Arabidopsis thaliana: one gene and its partners. The protein of the gene in region 2 purifies or fractionates together with the protein of the main gene of each other region. This does not show direct contact. Each region holds a gene or a part of one and is shown on either strand. Other genes may lie near its edges.

Region 1 (5,085 bases), on a different chromosome or scaffold from region 2:
ACTTCTTCCAGAGTATTACTGACTTCAGATCAGCTGTGGATGAGTGTTGACGGTTGTACAGGCGCCGTTCTTGAGTTTTTTTCAAAATGTCTCCAAATGGAGAAGCTGGGGGATGGTGTTGAGATGGCTACCATTGATTTGCATGCCCTTGTGGGTGGTGTTGACTGTTTTACTCATCTCAATGATTCTTATACCACCACCTGAACGCCTTTCAACGTTTATGGGATCTCAGCTTTGTAACCCTCAGAATCACCAAGTATGTGTACAAGAACCCGTTCTTGGGCCTATAAGACTGGATGAAACTAAATCTGGATTCACTGCAAAGGGGATCACACCCAAGGAGCTTGGTATTATTATGCTAGCTATGCAGAGCCAAGCCTTTTCGTTCAGCAGCTAGTTGCATGCTCTTGCTATGCAGTGCATCAAGTTTTGCGAAATGAAGGCTAATTAGTTGTGAAACATAAGAGTAATGCTTTTTGTAGTGAACAATAATTGTCGACTGTGTTTTATTTTTGTTGGTCAGATATGAGAATTAAAGCTTAAAACAATTTTTCTTGTGTATGGTTCTACCAAAAACTTGCAAGATCTAACAAGAAATCAAAACTAGGGATGATTTGAATCTTTGATCAACCACATTATTTCCTTTTCTCACAATCTAACAAGATTCATAAATGGAAGTGGCGAAGTAAGGGAAACACATTTCACTCAAATTGAGAAATAAAAATGAATTAGAGGATATGAAATAATGATATAACTTATGTTGGTTTATGAGACAAGAAGTAGCTACAGAATTTATATATAGCTCGACTCCTTGTAAACTACTCAACTCGAGATACCGAGTTCTCTCCTAAGTCAACTCCATTATTGCTGAGTCGGGTCAAAACCAACACAACACTTCTCTCAGTAAGATCTTTTACCATCGTTTGATCCAAACCCACCAAAGCTGCTCCTTCCACTTGACTGAGAAGAACGGTCTGAACCAAATCCTCCTGAAGAACCGCCTGAACCAAAGCTTCCGAAACCAGATGAGCGGTCTGAACCACCAGAGTAACGGCTGCTTGATCCCCCTGAACCTCCATAACTACCACCACCACCACCTGAACGGCCACTGCTGCCACCATAACCTCCATAACTACCACCACCTGAACGGCCACTGCTGCTACCGTAACTACCATACCCACCACCGCCTGATCGACCTCCTCCGAACGACCCACCAGATCTAGCACCTACTCCTTCAAACATGCTTGCGCTTCCTCTTTCCACAGCAATGCTAGGCAGCTGAATTCAAAACCAAATAGATTCAGAACTGTTTGTTACCCAAGCTATTCATACAAAAGATACAAAGGTGGTAAAGAAAGATATTAACCTCATTGAATCTGCTTCCGACTTCTTTCTCAATCATTTTAACAGCCCTGGTTTGATCTTGACCGTGGATGAGAATCGCGCTTCCTTTCTTTCCAGCACGACCAGTTCGCCCCGTTCGGTGAACAAACGTCTCCGTGTTATTAGGAAGCTCATAATGAATTACCTGTACACAAAGCACAATACAGGTTAATAAAATGAGAAACAGAACTAGTTAAGCGCAAGAAAAGGTATTGTTTTCACTCACTAAATCGACATTAGGTACATCAAGTCCACGGGCAGCAACATCAGTTGCAACAAGAATACTGAAATTCCCATCCCTGAAACCAGCAAGTGTTCTTTCTCTCTGAGCTTGAGATATGTCACCGTGTAAAGCTTCACATTTATAGCTTTTTGCCAATCCAAATGCAAGGCGATCTGCATCACGTTTTGTTTGGGTAAAGACAATGCATTTTCCTCCTTTGCCATGTTCCTGTAAAGGAGAAGATGTTATAAAATCACGACTGGAAACAAAAATGAAGAATCAAAACAAGATACAGATAATTGGCTTAAAAGCAAAGTAAAGAAAACATACCTTTACAAGAGGACCAATGATGGATGCTCTTCCATAAGAATCTGCAGCGATAGAATACATAGTAATCCCATCTGCAAGTTTCTGATCTGAATCTCCAACCTAAATTACATAAGAGTACATGTGTCATTAAAAAATGTCACTTCATTAACTACACTGCTACAGCCAAGATCAATATTTGCAATTTGTACAGCAATTCTAAGATATAAACACAAGCAGGTATAAGACTACTCACAAGATCAATTGTCAAAGGATTGTTCAGGTACTTCTTGGTGAGAGATCTGATCCAACTTGGCATTGTTGCAGAAAACATCATACTCTGACGCTTCGCTGGCAACTTCTGCAATATTATTTCAACATCTTCCGCAAATCCAACTTGAAGCATCTGATCAGCTTCATCAAGAACCACAAACTGAACCTCTGATAGATTCAAAGCTCCCCTTTTCATCAGATCAATGATACGACCAGGAGTTCCAACCGCCACATCAATACCATAGTTCAGCTCCCTCATTTGTTGCCCGATTGGTGTACCTCCATAGAGACAAATAGTATCCAAACTTGGAGCAGATTCCCTGAACTCTTTCTCAACCTGACGAGCAAGCTCCCTCGTCGGTGCCAAAACCAAGCACTGAGGATTCTTCCCACGACTGTCACATCAAAAGACAACATAAGAACCAAAGGAAGTGCAAATCTCTCAATCACAAATGATCGTTATATATAACAGTAAACACAAACCCATGTTTAGCGTTGAATTTGATGATTTTGTCAATAATAGGAATCCCAAAAGCAAGTGTCTTTCCCGTTCCAGTCCTTGCACGGCCAATCATATCACGACCCTCCATCGCTGGCTCCAACACAGCTTTCTATTCAACCAAACACAAACATCAAAAACTCAGTTAAAAAAATCTAAACTTTTAATTGATCTCTATAACCAAATGGAACAGAGAAGAAGATCATATATACCTGAATAGGAAAGAGTTTCTCAATACCCCTACCCTTCAAAGCTTTAACAATCTCCGGAGATATACCAAGATCAGCTATCGCAAGCCCATCACCACCACCGCTGCTACCAACACTCTCCGAATCTCCAATCCCTCCATCGTTCTCATAAGAAGGAGCATACTCTTGAGCCGCGAATCCCGCAGAAGAAACAATCGACGATCTAAACTCCGACGGTACAGATTTAACATGAAAGTCTCTCACTTTAACACCAAAAGGGCTCGAATTCGAAGGGAGAGACTTGACATTAGTAGCTCCATTTGCTAGATCGGAGACTGTGGCGGCGGCTGGAGCAAGGTTATGAAATAGAGCTGCGTTAATGGAGGTCACCGAAGCGGCGAGAGTACGCCTTGACGTACCAAGGATAGATCGGCGAAGTACTGTGCTAATCATTTTCAGATTTCAGAGAGTGTGATGGATTCTGGTGAAGATGAAATGTGAAACCCCAGAAATGAGAATTAGGGTTTTAGGGAGACGGCAAAAGGGTTTAGAGATTTAAGAAGAAGAATCAAAGGCGGGTATAAAGGGAACTTTGTTATAATCACCTGCGGGTGAGTGTATGGTATGTTCCTACACGTGCAAGCTTGTGTAAGGAAACAGAGTTGATTATTATTTTTTGCTTGAGCCCAAAGGTGTTCTTGAATGTGAAGCAAAGAGTTAATGAGTTCTGTTTTTTGTAACTTTGTGTAGTGTGGCAAATTGGCAATAGCTCAGGTTCGGAATCAGATCTATCAAATTAACCTATACCATATGTCTCAAATCATTAGTGATTATGTACAATGTAAAAGTCTTAGAATTGCCTAATGAATGAATACACCTAAAATGTGAGCTCTTGGATCCTTAAAGTTCGACATCATTCCATGGTCGGGTCAAAGGTTTCTATAACTTCTCAAAATGACACCTTTAGCAGTCTAAATGTGTCTCAATCCTTGGTGATGTATAAAGACTTTGATTGGCTAATGAATAAATGGAAAGCACTGTAACTGAAACTCAATTGTATCTTTCAAAATCGTCCAAAAACACATGTTTATACTAAGCAAGAAAATAACTACTTGATCTGATGTGAAGCAAAGCTGGTTTCATGGATCCGTAAGGTTCGAAATTATTGCATAGTACCCGGTTGGGTCTTGAAACTTCTACAAAATGATGTCTTTAGCCATCTCAGTAAGCATTGGTGGTGGAGCCATTGATGTTGCCTAACACTTGAGTCATATCCAAACGGGTCTTGCAATGGAACTGGAGTTCATATTGAGCTCCAAGAATACGATAACGTTTTAACCAAAACAGCTTCTTGCTCAACTCATGACTCTGAGCTTTGATGACAAGAAACCGTTTCTTGAACCTCATCTCAAACTGTTCTCTAGACTTCTTATCGACGTGAGGCGATCTTAGCACCGTGTACAGAGTTCGTGTATCGGGCATTGCGACTTTACGAGTGTGAGGAGGAAGACACCAAGCTTGCTTTTCCGGGTTAACAAAAGACCGAATCGCTATACAAATCTTTGTTCCTTTTATCTTTGATGTGCTTTCTTCTGCTGCCTCTTTCTACAATTCAACCCCAAACACACAACAACAACAACATAAACAACAGTTCTAAATCATTTCAATGAATTTCACATTCCGATTCCTATTCGAATTTGAATCTGATGAAGCACTTTGAATAATATTCTATGAATTTGAACAAAAATGCATATACCTGGAGAGCGATCTCCTTCCTACTCAATGGTCTGACATTGTCTGGAGAAATTTTAATCTTAGCTTTCTTAATCTCGTTTTTGCGATCCTTTGTGACAGTGGCGTAACCTTGTGACGCGATTCCTGCGGGAACAATCATCGACGGCTCAGATCTAATGTGGATGTTCCTCGCTCTGATGCCAAACGAGTTAGGAGACGACGCGAGAGTGAATCGAGAGCTGACGGAAGCTCCGGTGGTGGCTGGAGTGAGATTGTGCGAAATACACGAATTGAAGGAGGCTAACGCGGCGGAGAGAGTCTGCCTCGACGGGAGTGAAGATCGGCGCAATACTCCGGCGATCATTTTCAGATTCAACGGTGAGACGAAGAAATGACGACGAGAGATTGAAGGAAATCTGAAAAACCCCAAATTAGGGTTTCAGTGAAAGAGTAAGCGAAATCAGAGAGAATTGTGAGGA
Region 2 (4,562 bases):
CTCTATTGGGGTATTCTACAACATATTAAAAATCTCACTTGTCAGTGATAATTAACAATGCTTACTTGAGTAGCTTAATTTTCTTGAAGGGACGGGGCGATTCCTGTTCTGACTCTGATTGTTGGAGGAAACCTTCTCAATGGTAGATAAACAATAACAAATGGCTGCAGAAACTTTTTTTCCTAAGACAAAACCTTAAATCTCTGTTCTCTCTCTTATAATAATCACAGGTCTGAGAGGTTCAGGAATAAACAAGTCAGTCATAATGGGTGTGGTGGTTGTGCGTTACTTGTTGCTGCCAATATTAGGAGTTTTCATAGTACGAGGAGCGCATTACTTGGGTTTGGTTACATCCGAACCGCTTTACCAGTTTGTTCTTCTGCTTCAGTATGTCGTTCCCCCAGCGATGAATCTTGGTTCGTTCTTCAGACTCACAAAAATACTACCAAAACATGTCATCACACTGTCTTTCTCATAAACTCACTTGACCTTTTGGCAGGTACAATCACTCAACTATTCGGATCAGGAGAAAGTGAATGCTCTGTGATTCTATTCTGGAGTTATGCCTTGGCTTCAGTTTCTCTCACTGTCTGGCCAACATTCTTCATGTGGCTCGTAGCCTGAACATCCACACACACACACTTACACAAATGGGAAACAGTTGCAAATCTTGCTACTTTGAAATATTAGAGAAACTGATATATTCTTTCATTGATAAAAATGTTGGAAGGTTATACAATTGGGAATAGAGACCCAATCAAAAGGGAATATTGAAACTTCAATCATCCTAAGATAGCAGATAAATGCTTGAGACAAGCAAAGACAGAGATAGAACAAAATATCCTATTGAGAGTTTATAAAGAGAGCCTCAGAGAGAGGACTTGTCAGGCAAATCATCGAAGTAAGGATGCTCCATAGCTTTCTTTGCTGAGATTCGTTTTGCTGGCTCGTACTCCAGCATTTTCTGTGCACAAAGAGAAACACAAATTAGTCTCAGCAGAGTGATTATCTACTAATCAAGCAAGGTCTGAGAGGTGTGTTAGACACTAGAGACTTACAGATAAGAGATCAAGTCCAGCCTCGTCGAGGTTTGGCACAGCTGTGGAGAGACTCAACGGTTTCCATTGCGGGTATTCATGCCAGTCCTTGAGTTTGCTTACTCCAGGCCAAACTTCTTCGTTTGGTGTTCCCAACAACCTGAGTTTGACAGGAAAGAAAGAAACAGAACAACCAAGTTAGCGAATGTCATGTTTGTGTCTTAAAGGTAAAGATGAACACAAAGACTTACCTGAATATACGGAGGAGCTGTTGGAGCTCAGAGTCTCCCGCAAAGATTGCTTGCTTGGTCACTAGTTCAGCTACACATCAAAAAGGAAACAAAACTGTTAGTTCTTGCTAGTGACATTGAACTGAAACCAGTGAAACTGTAAGAGAAGATTTTGTACCAAAAATACAGCCAACAGACCACATATCCACTCCAGTAGAGTAATGGGTTGCTCCAAGAAGAACTTCCGGAGCTCTATACCATAGAGTTAGAATCTGTTGCAAATGAAATCATGGGGGTAAAATCATCCTGAGTTATAACTCCAGATAAACTAAGATAGAATTAAAAAAAAAAAAAAAAACTAGAATGAAACAGGACTAATGTTTCATCAACGTAGACTTATATACCTCATGTGTATACTTTTTCATTGGGAGAGTGAAGGCTCTGGCTAATCCAAGATCTGCTATTTTGAGCGTCATTGTCTTCCGGTCCATCAAGAGATTGTGAGGCTTAAGATCCCTGTAATGAAACCAAGACAAGTAGGATTAGAGATCTGTGTCAAAATGGGTTATCTCAAGTCATAGTTCTTCCAAAACAAAGACGATTTTTACCTGTGCAACACTCCATGACCATGGCAAAAAGCCATGCCTTTGCATAACTGGTACATCAAGCACTGCAATTCAAGAACATGTTTCTCTTAGCTTAAAGGGGCTTATCGGATGAGAGAAAAAAAGCAGAACAAAATCTCCAAATATCCAAACCTTGACAGTATTTTGTGGAATGTTCTGTCCAGCTTGACGAAAGCTTCTGATGAATTTCTTGAGATCAGTATCAACATACTCGAAAACAAGGTAAAGTACAGTTTTTCCTTCTTTGTTTATTCCTTGCTTAACATCCATCAACCTGTAGAAGAAGATAATCATCATAACAATAATCTCTCAGTAGAAATGCAATCACCACAAAAATAGTTGAAACTGAGATCACAACACAGAGCTTCTACTTTGACATTTTCTAGTATTCGGATAAGATAAGGAACCCATTTTATCTCGATCGGACCACACAACAAATAGCAAACTGAAACTAAGATCTACCAGTAACACCTAAGAGCGACACTAAGCGCGATTTGCAGGAAGAATCAGAGTCATCAAATCAATTGAGACATCAATTAATCGGGACTAAACCCTAGAAATCGAAATTGAGTCCTAAATCCACAATCAAAACCAGTAAATCGGAGAATTTCAGAAAGTGACTGAACCGAATCAGAAATGTAAAAGGAAATCGAACCTAACGATGTGAGGATCACGAGCGAGCATACGCAAGATAGAGATCTCGCGAAGAGTAGTGGGAGGAACACCTTCTTCATCCTCATGGAGACGCGTCTTCTTCAAAGCAACGATCATCCCAGTAGCTTTCTCTCTTGCTCTGTAAACTTTCCCATAAGTCCCTTCACCTACTTTCTCAAGCTTTTCAAAGGCTTCCATGGCGGAAACAGCGGGTTTAACTCCATTGTTGTCCATCTCTATCAATCTCTCAAGACAACTCTTCTTCTTCCTTCGCGAATCTCAGATTTTGTTTTCAATTTGGGGAAAGAGAGAGGAAATGTAATTAGATTCGAGAATTGGTTTAAATAGGAAGGAGATTATTAAAAAGGTATATTCCCTCTTTGAGCACTCATGTTTTTTCAACGGTTCTTTTTTTCTTTTTTCAAAATTCAAAACTGGAGCGTCGTCATTAGTTTTTTTTTTATGTTCTGTTTTTAAGTGTGACGTGGAAAAAGTGAATAACCAATGTTTGTCAACATCCGGAGACGGTTTAGCTACACGAAAGGAAAAAAAAAAGGGGAGAGTTTGTTTTTTGGTCAAAAGGTGTGAGTTTGTTGTTAGATTCGACAAAACACACAAGATGGGCCTTTATTGGGCAGGACGAAAAATTGACAAGCCAGAGAAGAACAAGTTCTTAAACAACATTGTCTTAAATGATTTTTTGTCCCAAAAGAAATAGTAATATACAACTAATTTTTAGATTTGAAATACATAAACCATAATAGTGCAATGATAAAAGCAAATGGGAAACAAACATTCTTATAAATCAGGACATTTTTTGTATAATCTATAGGCCCTAAATGTTTACTTGGTGGTATCAATGAGTCCCATAATCGAATTTATATAGGAGATGCGTCGGTCATTAGAAGCAACAAGCACCTTCTGTTGCTCATCCTCCTCTACAAAGAACAAGGAGGGCGTCAATTTATAGAAATCTCGGACGCAATTGGGCCAAGCAAGGGTTGACACCAAAACTCCCCAACTGTTAGCTTCCATGTCGTACACATGAAGAACACTTGCCAAAGGTTCTAAACCCATCTTTTTCACCCTCACCACAAGACACTTGCCATCGTACATAGCTATGTTCCAATATACAAGCGTTTCTTCCTCGATAGATATGTTCTTGATCCGCCTTGTGAGTGTCCATTTGTGATTCTCGACAAGTGTGTAAACGGAGATTGTTTCTATCGTCCCCGAAATTAGGGTCAGGCGATTGATCTTAACGCTTTCCGCGAAAAGTAGCTTCGTATCCGGTTCCCGATGAAATATGGAAGGAATCAAGCATGCTTGCTCTGTCTCGGGATTAAAAGACATGATGCTGCCATCGTTTCTCAGCCAGTGAAGAGTGTTGTCCAAGTAAACAGGTTTCATCCGCGTAGTGAGATCACTTTTTGAGCTAGTGGTGATACTCGTTTCCGATAATCTCCAAGAGTCTCCTTCGTTGATCTCGAATCCGTATACGTTTTCCATCTCGAGTATGCCCACGATCTTGAATCTCTTGGTTGTTAGATTTCGATTTACCGCAAATCCAACGCACATCGCTCGTTCCGTACAAGCAACATTACCTCCAGGATAACTAATTCCGCTAAGACCTTTAAGTCCACCATTAACTATCATTGGTATAAGCTTTGATCCAGAATGATCCAGGATTCGAAACCTTTTTGTTAAGGGATTTGCAACAAAGAGACAACCAATGTACAATAGGAGAAGACCAGAGCATGAGCCGAAAATGTAACAATCCGCACTACCATCAAACAGTTCTACTCCATTTCCCGGTGACATATAATCGCATGAAGAGACCAAAGGATGGCAACATACATAAGTAGCGCCATAGCTACCAAGGTTAAACAAACTAGGTCTGACCCATGAAGGATATTCCGGTCCAAATCTTGGATCACTTAAATATGATTTGATAGAATTGTTAGTGCATCGCATCATAGCCATAGATTTGGGTTCTAATCTGAAGAGAATCTCGT
Region 3 (4,671 bases), on a different chromosome or scaffold from region 2:
AATAAATTTAGGTGTGTTTGGTTACTGGTTAAATAGAATAATGAATTTCTATTATGTTTGGCAATTGAAATAATGTAATTCAGAAGAAAAAAAGGAAAATTTGACAACATTGTGAGTTTGTTTGTTCAGAAAAAACCTTTTTCTACTATAGATGATTACTTTCTGAGCTAAAAGAAATGCTTATTTTTAGTTTGACATCTAACTTCTCACTTGTCAAATTACTCTTTTCATTACTCATAAAAATGCATTAAACTTTTTTTATTGGTTACCGTGAATTAAAAATATATAATCACAAGGATATGTAGTTGAAAAGACTTCGTTGGCCCTTTTCGAATGATTTTAAAACCATCTCATACGTGTGCTAAAAGTTTTGTCTACCAACTGTTTGTCGAAATGCTTCCGAAACGTTTTTTGTTTGTTGATAAACTAATAATAATTCTGATTTTCTGGTATTTTTTATTTGTTGTGCCGACTATTTTGCAGACACGAGAGATTAAAGGTATCCCAAAAATTTCTGGGAATATAGTTCTTATTCACCAATCATTTGTAGCAAACAAGATAGAAAAAACATGCCTAATTCTCCAAAGTTTGTTTTCATAAGTAATTTTGAATAATTTTCATTTCTCTTTATTTACTTCCATTATTTTGATATATAGTTCATATCCATATCTCTTATGATTAATTTTTTAATCATAACATGAGAAACGATAGGAATGAAACCTATTTGTAGGCGTTTACGATATTTCTTATGATACATTTTTTTTGTAAATTAGAATTTAGAAGTAGTCACTTTCGTTTTCATTACTGGTTCAATTAGAATGAGATATGATAAAACTAATAATTTTTTTCAATTGTCTGCTCTACAATCTACACAGGATTCCAAGGAAAAAAATACTTTAGGACTTCACATCACCACATCAGATATTGTCAAAGACAATTTTGTTTTGTGAAATCGAATACTCTGAATCCGGCTTTGATATCGAGGAAAAAACGCTTGACAAAGCATTGAAAGAAAAAAAAAATATTAGTTAAAGGAACCTTATACATTTTATGAAGTTTTTTTTTTTGTAAGCACCCGAAATAAAATTGATGAAGTTTGAGTATATCACTATGCCTTATGGTTTTTGCCGACCAAAATATGTCGAAATTATGAATACATATATTTTATTTATTTATTTATATTCTATTAAAATTATTTTGGGTGTAATAATAAAATTAAACTTCTATCAATTTTAAAGGGAGGATTATTAATTTAAATAACATTAAATCATATATGATATATAATCAAATAATATTTTAGTAATCTTAAAATTAAATTAAAATTTAAAAACTGATATTTAGATAATCATAAAGTATTAACCCACAACAATAAGTGATTACAATTTAAAGAACTACTATTAGTTTCTTAAAATATTTTAAAAGCACATGTGTTCTAAAAAGGTTACAGGTAGATAAGCAGTCTGCTCCTAAAGAACTATAAACAATAATCACTTTTAATTTGTTTAAAACCAGCTTGTTTCACGCCCTAAATTAACTAAAATATATCTACCATTATTCCAGACAAAACGACGTCGGTTGGTGTGTTTCACGCCGGCTTGGTGCTCTAGGCATCTATCTGATTCTCACTATCACTACTGACACAAATCCTTTTCCTTTTGTTCCTCTTTCTCTAAACCAATCTTTAAAACAACTTATTCGTCTTCAAGATTTCTCCAACAAGTCCTACCATGTCCGGCGAAGGAGACACGACCCTCAAAGCTATCTGTTACAAGCCTGGCTCTCTCCAGTTACTCGATCAGGTTCTCTCTTTCACTTCTATAAAGTTTTCAAATTTATACTTTTTTTCCTCAAATCTGTTTACTCGTCTGAATTGGAACAGAGGAAGCTTCCTTTAGAGACTATTTACTTAGAGATTCGTGATGCTTCAGATGGATGGTAAAGTCTTTACCTTTATGATTAGAGATTGTTTTGGGAAAATTGTGGTTTAAAAAGTTTGATACTTTTGGTAGGAGTGCTATTCAGGAAATGGTTGTACGTGGTGCTCCTGCTATAGCTATTGCTGCTGCTCTTTCTTTGGCTGTTGAAGTTTTCAACTTTCATGGTTTTGATGGATCAGCTTCAGATGCTGTTGCTTTTCTTGAGAACAAGTTGGATTATTTAGTGTCAAGGTTAGATTTTGGATTTGTTAGTTAAGTTTTGCATCTTTGGTGCTTACTCTAATGTCTTTTGCTTTTTATGTTTGTTTCTTCAGCCGTCCAACAGCAGTTAATCTTGCAGATGCTGCTTTGAAACTTAAACATGTTATAGCAAAGGCCTTGGCTACTGCCACCGAAGCCAAATCCATTTTCAAGGTATCAAGAAGTTTCGTAATTCATCTGTGTGTGTGCCTTTTGCTTTTGTAAGTTTAGCTCATTCTCTGTGCTTGTTGTTCTTCAGGCATATATTGAAGCTAGTGAGGATATGCTTGAAGATGATGTTGTTTCAAACAAAGCTATAGGAAACTTTGGTTTAAGCTTGTTGAGGCAACAAGCCAAGAATCCTGATAAGCTTTCTGTTTTGACCCATTGCAACACTGGCAGGTATTGATTTAGCTAGATTTTCTGAATTGCATAGATACCGTCTGCATAAGTTACTCAAGTTGAGTAATAGCATGTTACCACATATGTGTATGCAGCTTCAACCAATAGAGTTGTGTAATGGTTTTTGGTGTTATGTTTATGTGGTAGATTCCTAGTAAGGCATTAACTACGAGTTCTATTGACTTTGTAGCCTTGCTACCGCCGGATATGGTACTGCCCTCGGTGTCATCCGTGCACTCCATACTCAAGGAATCTTAGAAAGAGCATACTGCACAGAAACTCGTCCATTTAATCAAGTAAAACTCCTAAATTAATACTTTTTCTTTCTCAATATCGTAAGAAGAAGAATCCGTAGAATACCTTAAGTTGTTAGGGACGATAATTACCTCTATATTGACATATGTGTTCTTATCAAAACGGTGGTAAAAGCTTCAAAACCATGAAGGAACGTAGGACAGATACTTCTTGTGGCAGCTCCCTGAATCCATTGCTTTATAGAGTTTTCATATCTTGTTGAACTGTTGTTGAAAGTCTTTTGAATTTATGACTAAATGGCAATTGACAGGGATCGAGGCTTACAGCGTTTGAGTTGGTGCATGAGAAAATCCCTGCAACTCTCATTGCAGACTCAGCTGCAGCTGCACTGATGAAAGATGGTCGTGTTGATGGTGTCATCGTTGGAGCTGATCGTGTGGCTTCAAATGGTACACTCAAACACCTTAGATAAATCCGTTTTCTCTCACAAATCTGATTCCTTATGACTGAATCACTTCTTAACCAATTCATTGATATACTCCAGGCGATACTGCTAACAAGATTGGGACTTACAGTCTCGCCTTGTGCGCAAAACATCACGGGATCCCATTTTATGTTGCTGCACCTCTTACCTCAGTTGATCTGTCACTTTCATCCGGGAAAGAAATCGTGATAGAGGAAAGATCTCCAAAGGAGTTGATGCACACACACGGAGGACTTGGTGAACGCATTGCAGCACCAGGGATCTCAGTTTGGAACCCAGCTTTTGATATGACTCCAGCAGAGCTGATTGCAGGAATCATAACCGAGAAAGTTCGTTTTTCCAGCCTTGCTTGTTCTGGAAGATATTTATGCTCATTTATTTGAATCTCTCAACGTGTTTGTATATGCAGGGGGTCATAACAAAGAATGGCAATGATACATTTGACATAAGCAGCTTTGCCAAGAAGATAACAGGAAACTCATCTCGTTGAAGTTAGAGTCAGCATTGCGACTTGCGGATGTTCCCCTCTCTCTATATACTTGCAACAAAGCAAATTACTTTGTAATGTTTGAGCTACTAAGTACACTGTGGTAAAAATTGTCAAAAATAAGAAATAATCGATACGTTTTAGCCAATTGTAGGTAGCCAAAATGCTGGTCTTGGGTTTAATGCTAATGAAGATTGGGAAACAACTTGTTTTAGTGTAAAACAACTTGTCCATGGGCTTGCCCGGTCCATCTTGACTTGGTTCTTATTTCTCTATTTTTTTAAGTTTAAGAAAAGAATACCGTTTCTCCTACCCGTCAATATTGAAATAATTTCAGAGGTTTTCCTTGTTCTGTGTCAACAAACAATTCGAAATGCCTCGACTTTATCAATTTTTTGATAATTCTGAACTTTAGACCAAATGCATATGGACGAGCTATATTCTGGACCAAAAAACAAATGGTCTAATTGGGCATATGACCAGTTTTGTCCACGGATAATATGGGCTTGACCATATGGACAACGGGCTGCCCATGGGCATGAATTGAGTCAATAGACATGTCTTCATTTAATTGTATTTTTATAATTTTAATTACAATTACAACTAAATAATTTTTAAATAATATATTTTACATTTATAAGTTTTTACTTTTCTGAAAATTTTAAATTTTAATGAATTATTTCTTATTAAATTATTTACGATTTTAAAGGAAAGATAGTATTCCACAATTTTCTGGAATACGCAATTTTTAAATTTTACGGTTTTGACGGGAAAAATACAATTCTCCGATTTTACGATTTTGACGGAAAAACGTAATTCTGCAAATTTTCCACCAAAATCGTGATTTTATTATATTGGCGAGAACA

The links.
Region 1: the proteins of CDKB2;2 (region 2) and PMH1 purify together in Arabidopsis thaliana (affinity purification with mass spectrometry, with the first as the bait; one large-scale study listed by BioGRID). This does not show direct contact.
Region 3: the proteins of CDKB2;2 (region 2) and AT2G05830 purify together in Arabidopsis thaliana (affinity purification with mass spectrometry, with the first as the bait; one large-scale study listed by BioGRID). This does not show direct contact.

What each region holds. Positions count from the first base shown.
Region 1 is NC_003074.8:7,885,622-7,890,706, reverse strand, and holds PMH1 (putative mitochondrial RNA helicase 1), read right to left. Parts: upstream 3,432-5,085; 5' UTR 3,326-3,431; coding exon 2,897-3,325; intron 2,797-2,896; coding exon 2,669-2,796; intron 2,581-2,668; coding exon 2,169-2,580; intron 2,036-2,168; coding exon 1,937-2,035; intron 1,835-1,936; coding exon 1,610-1,834; intron 1,529-1,609; coding exon 1,367-1,528; intron 1,279-1,366; coding exon 901-1,278; 3' UTR 554-900; downstream 1-553. Other genes in the region: RPS10 (ribosomal protein S10), read right to left, coding at 4,094-4,477, 4,629-4,970.
Region 2 is NC_003070.9:7,291,884-7,296,445, forward strand, and holds CDKB2;2 (cyclin-dependent kinase B2;2), read right to left. Parts: upstream 2,864-4,562; 5' UTR 2,782-2,863; coding exon 2,549-2,781; intron 2,168-2,548; coding exon 2,026-2,167; intron 1,938-2,025; coding exon 1,876-1,937; intron 1,784-1,875; coding exon 1,672-1,783; intron 1,540-1,671; coding exon 1,446-1,539; intron 1,359-1,445; coding exon 1,289-1,358; intron 1,198-1,288; coding exon 1,059-1,197; intron 965-1,058; coding exon 869-964; 3' UTR 625-868; downstream 1-624. Other genes in the region: AT1G20925 (Auxin efflux carrier family protein), read left to right, coding at 1-10, 90-142, 231-416, 500-624; AT1G20940 (F-box family protein), read right to left, coding at 3,391-4,562.
Region 3 is NC_003071.7:2,228,032-2,232,702, forward strand, and holds AT2G05830 (NagB/RpiA/CoA transferase-like superfamily protein), read left to right. Parts: upstream 1-1,507; 5' UTR 1,508-1,727; coding exon 1,728-1,799; exon of another isoform or gene 1,800-1,879; coding exon 1,880-1,935; intron 1,936-2,009; coding exon 2,010-2,168; intron 2,169-2,251; coding exon 2,252-2,351; intron 2,352-2,436; coding exon 2,437-2,579; intron 2,580-2,769; coding exon 2,770-2,875; intron 2,876-3,144; coding exon 3,145-3,283; intron 3,284-3,378; coding exon 3,379-3,647; intron 3,648-3,727; coding exon 3,728-3,808; 3' UTR 3,809-4,118; downstream 4,119-4,671. UniProt on the Arabidopsis thaliana protein: Catalyzes the interconversion of methylthioribose-1-phosphate (MTR-1-P) into methylthioribulose-1-phosphate (MTRu-1-P).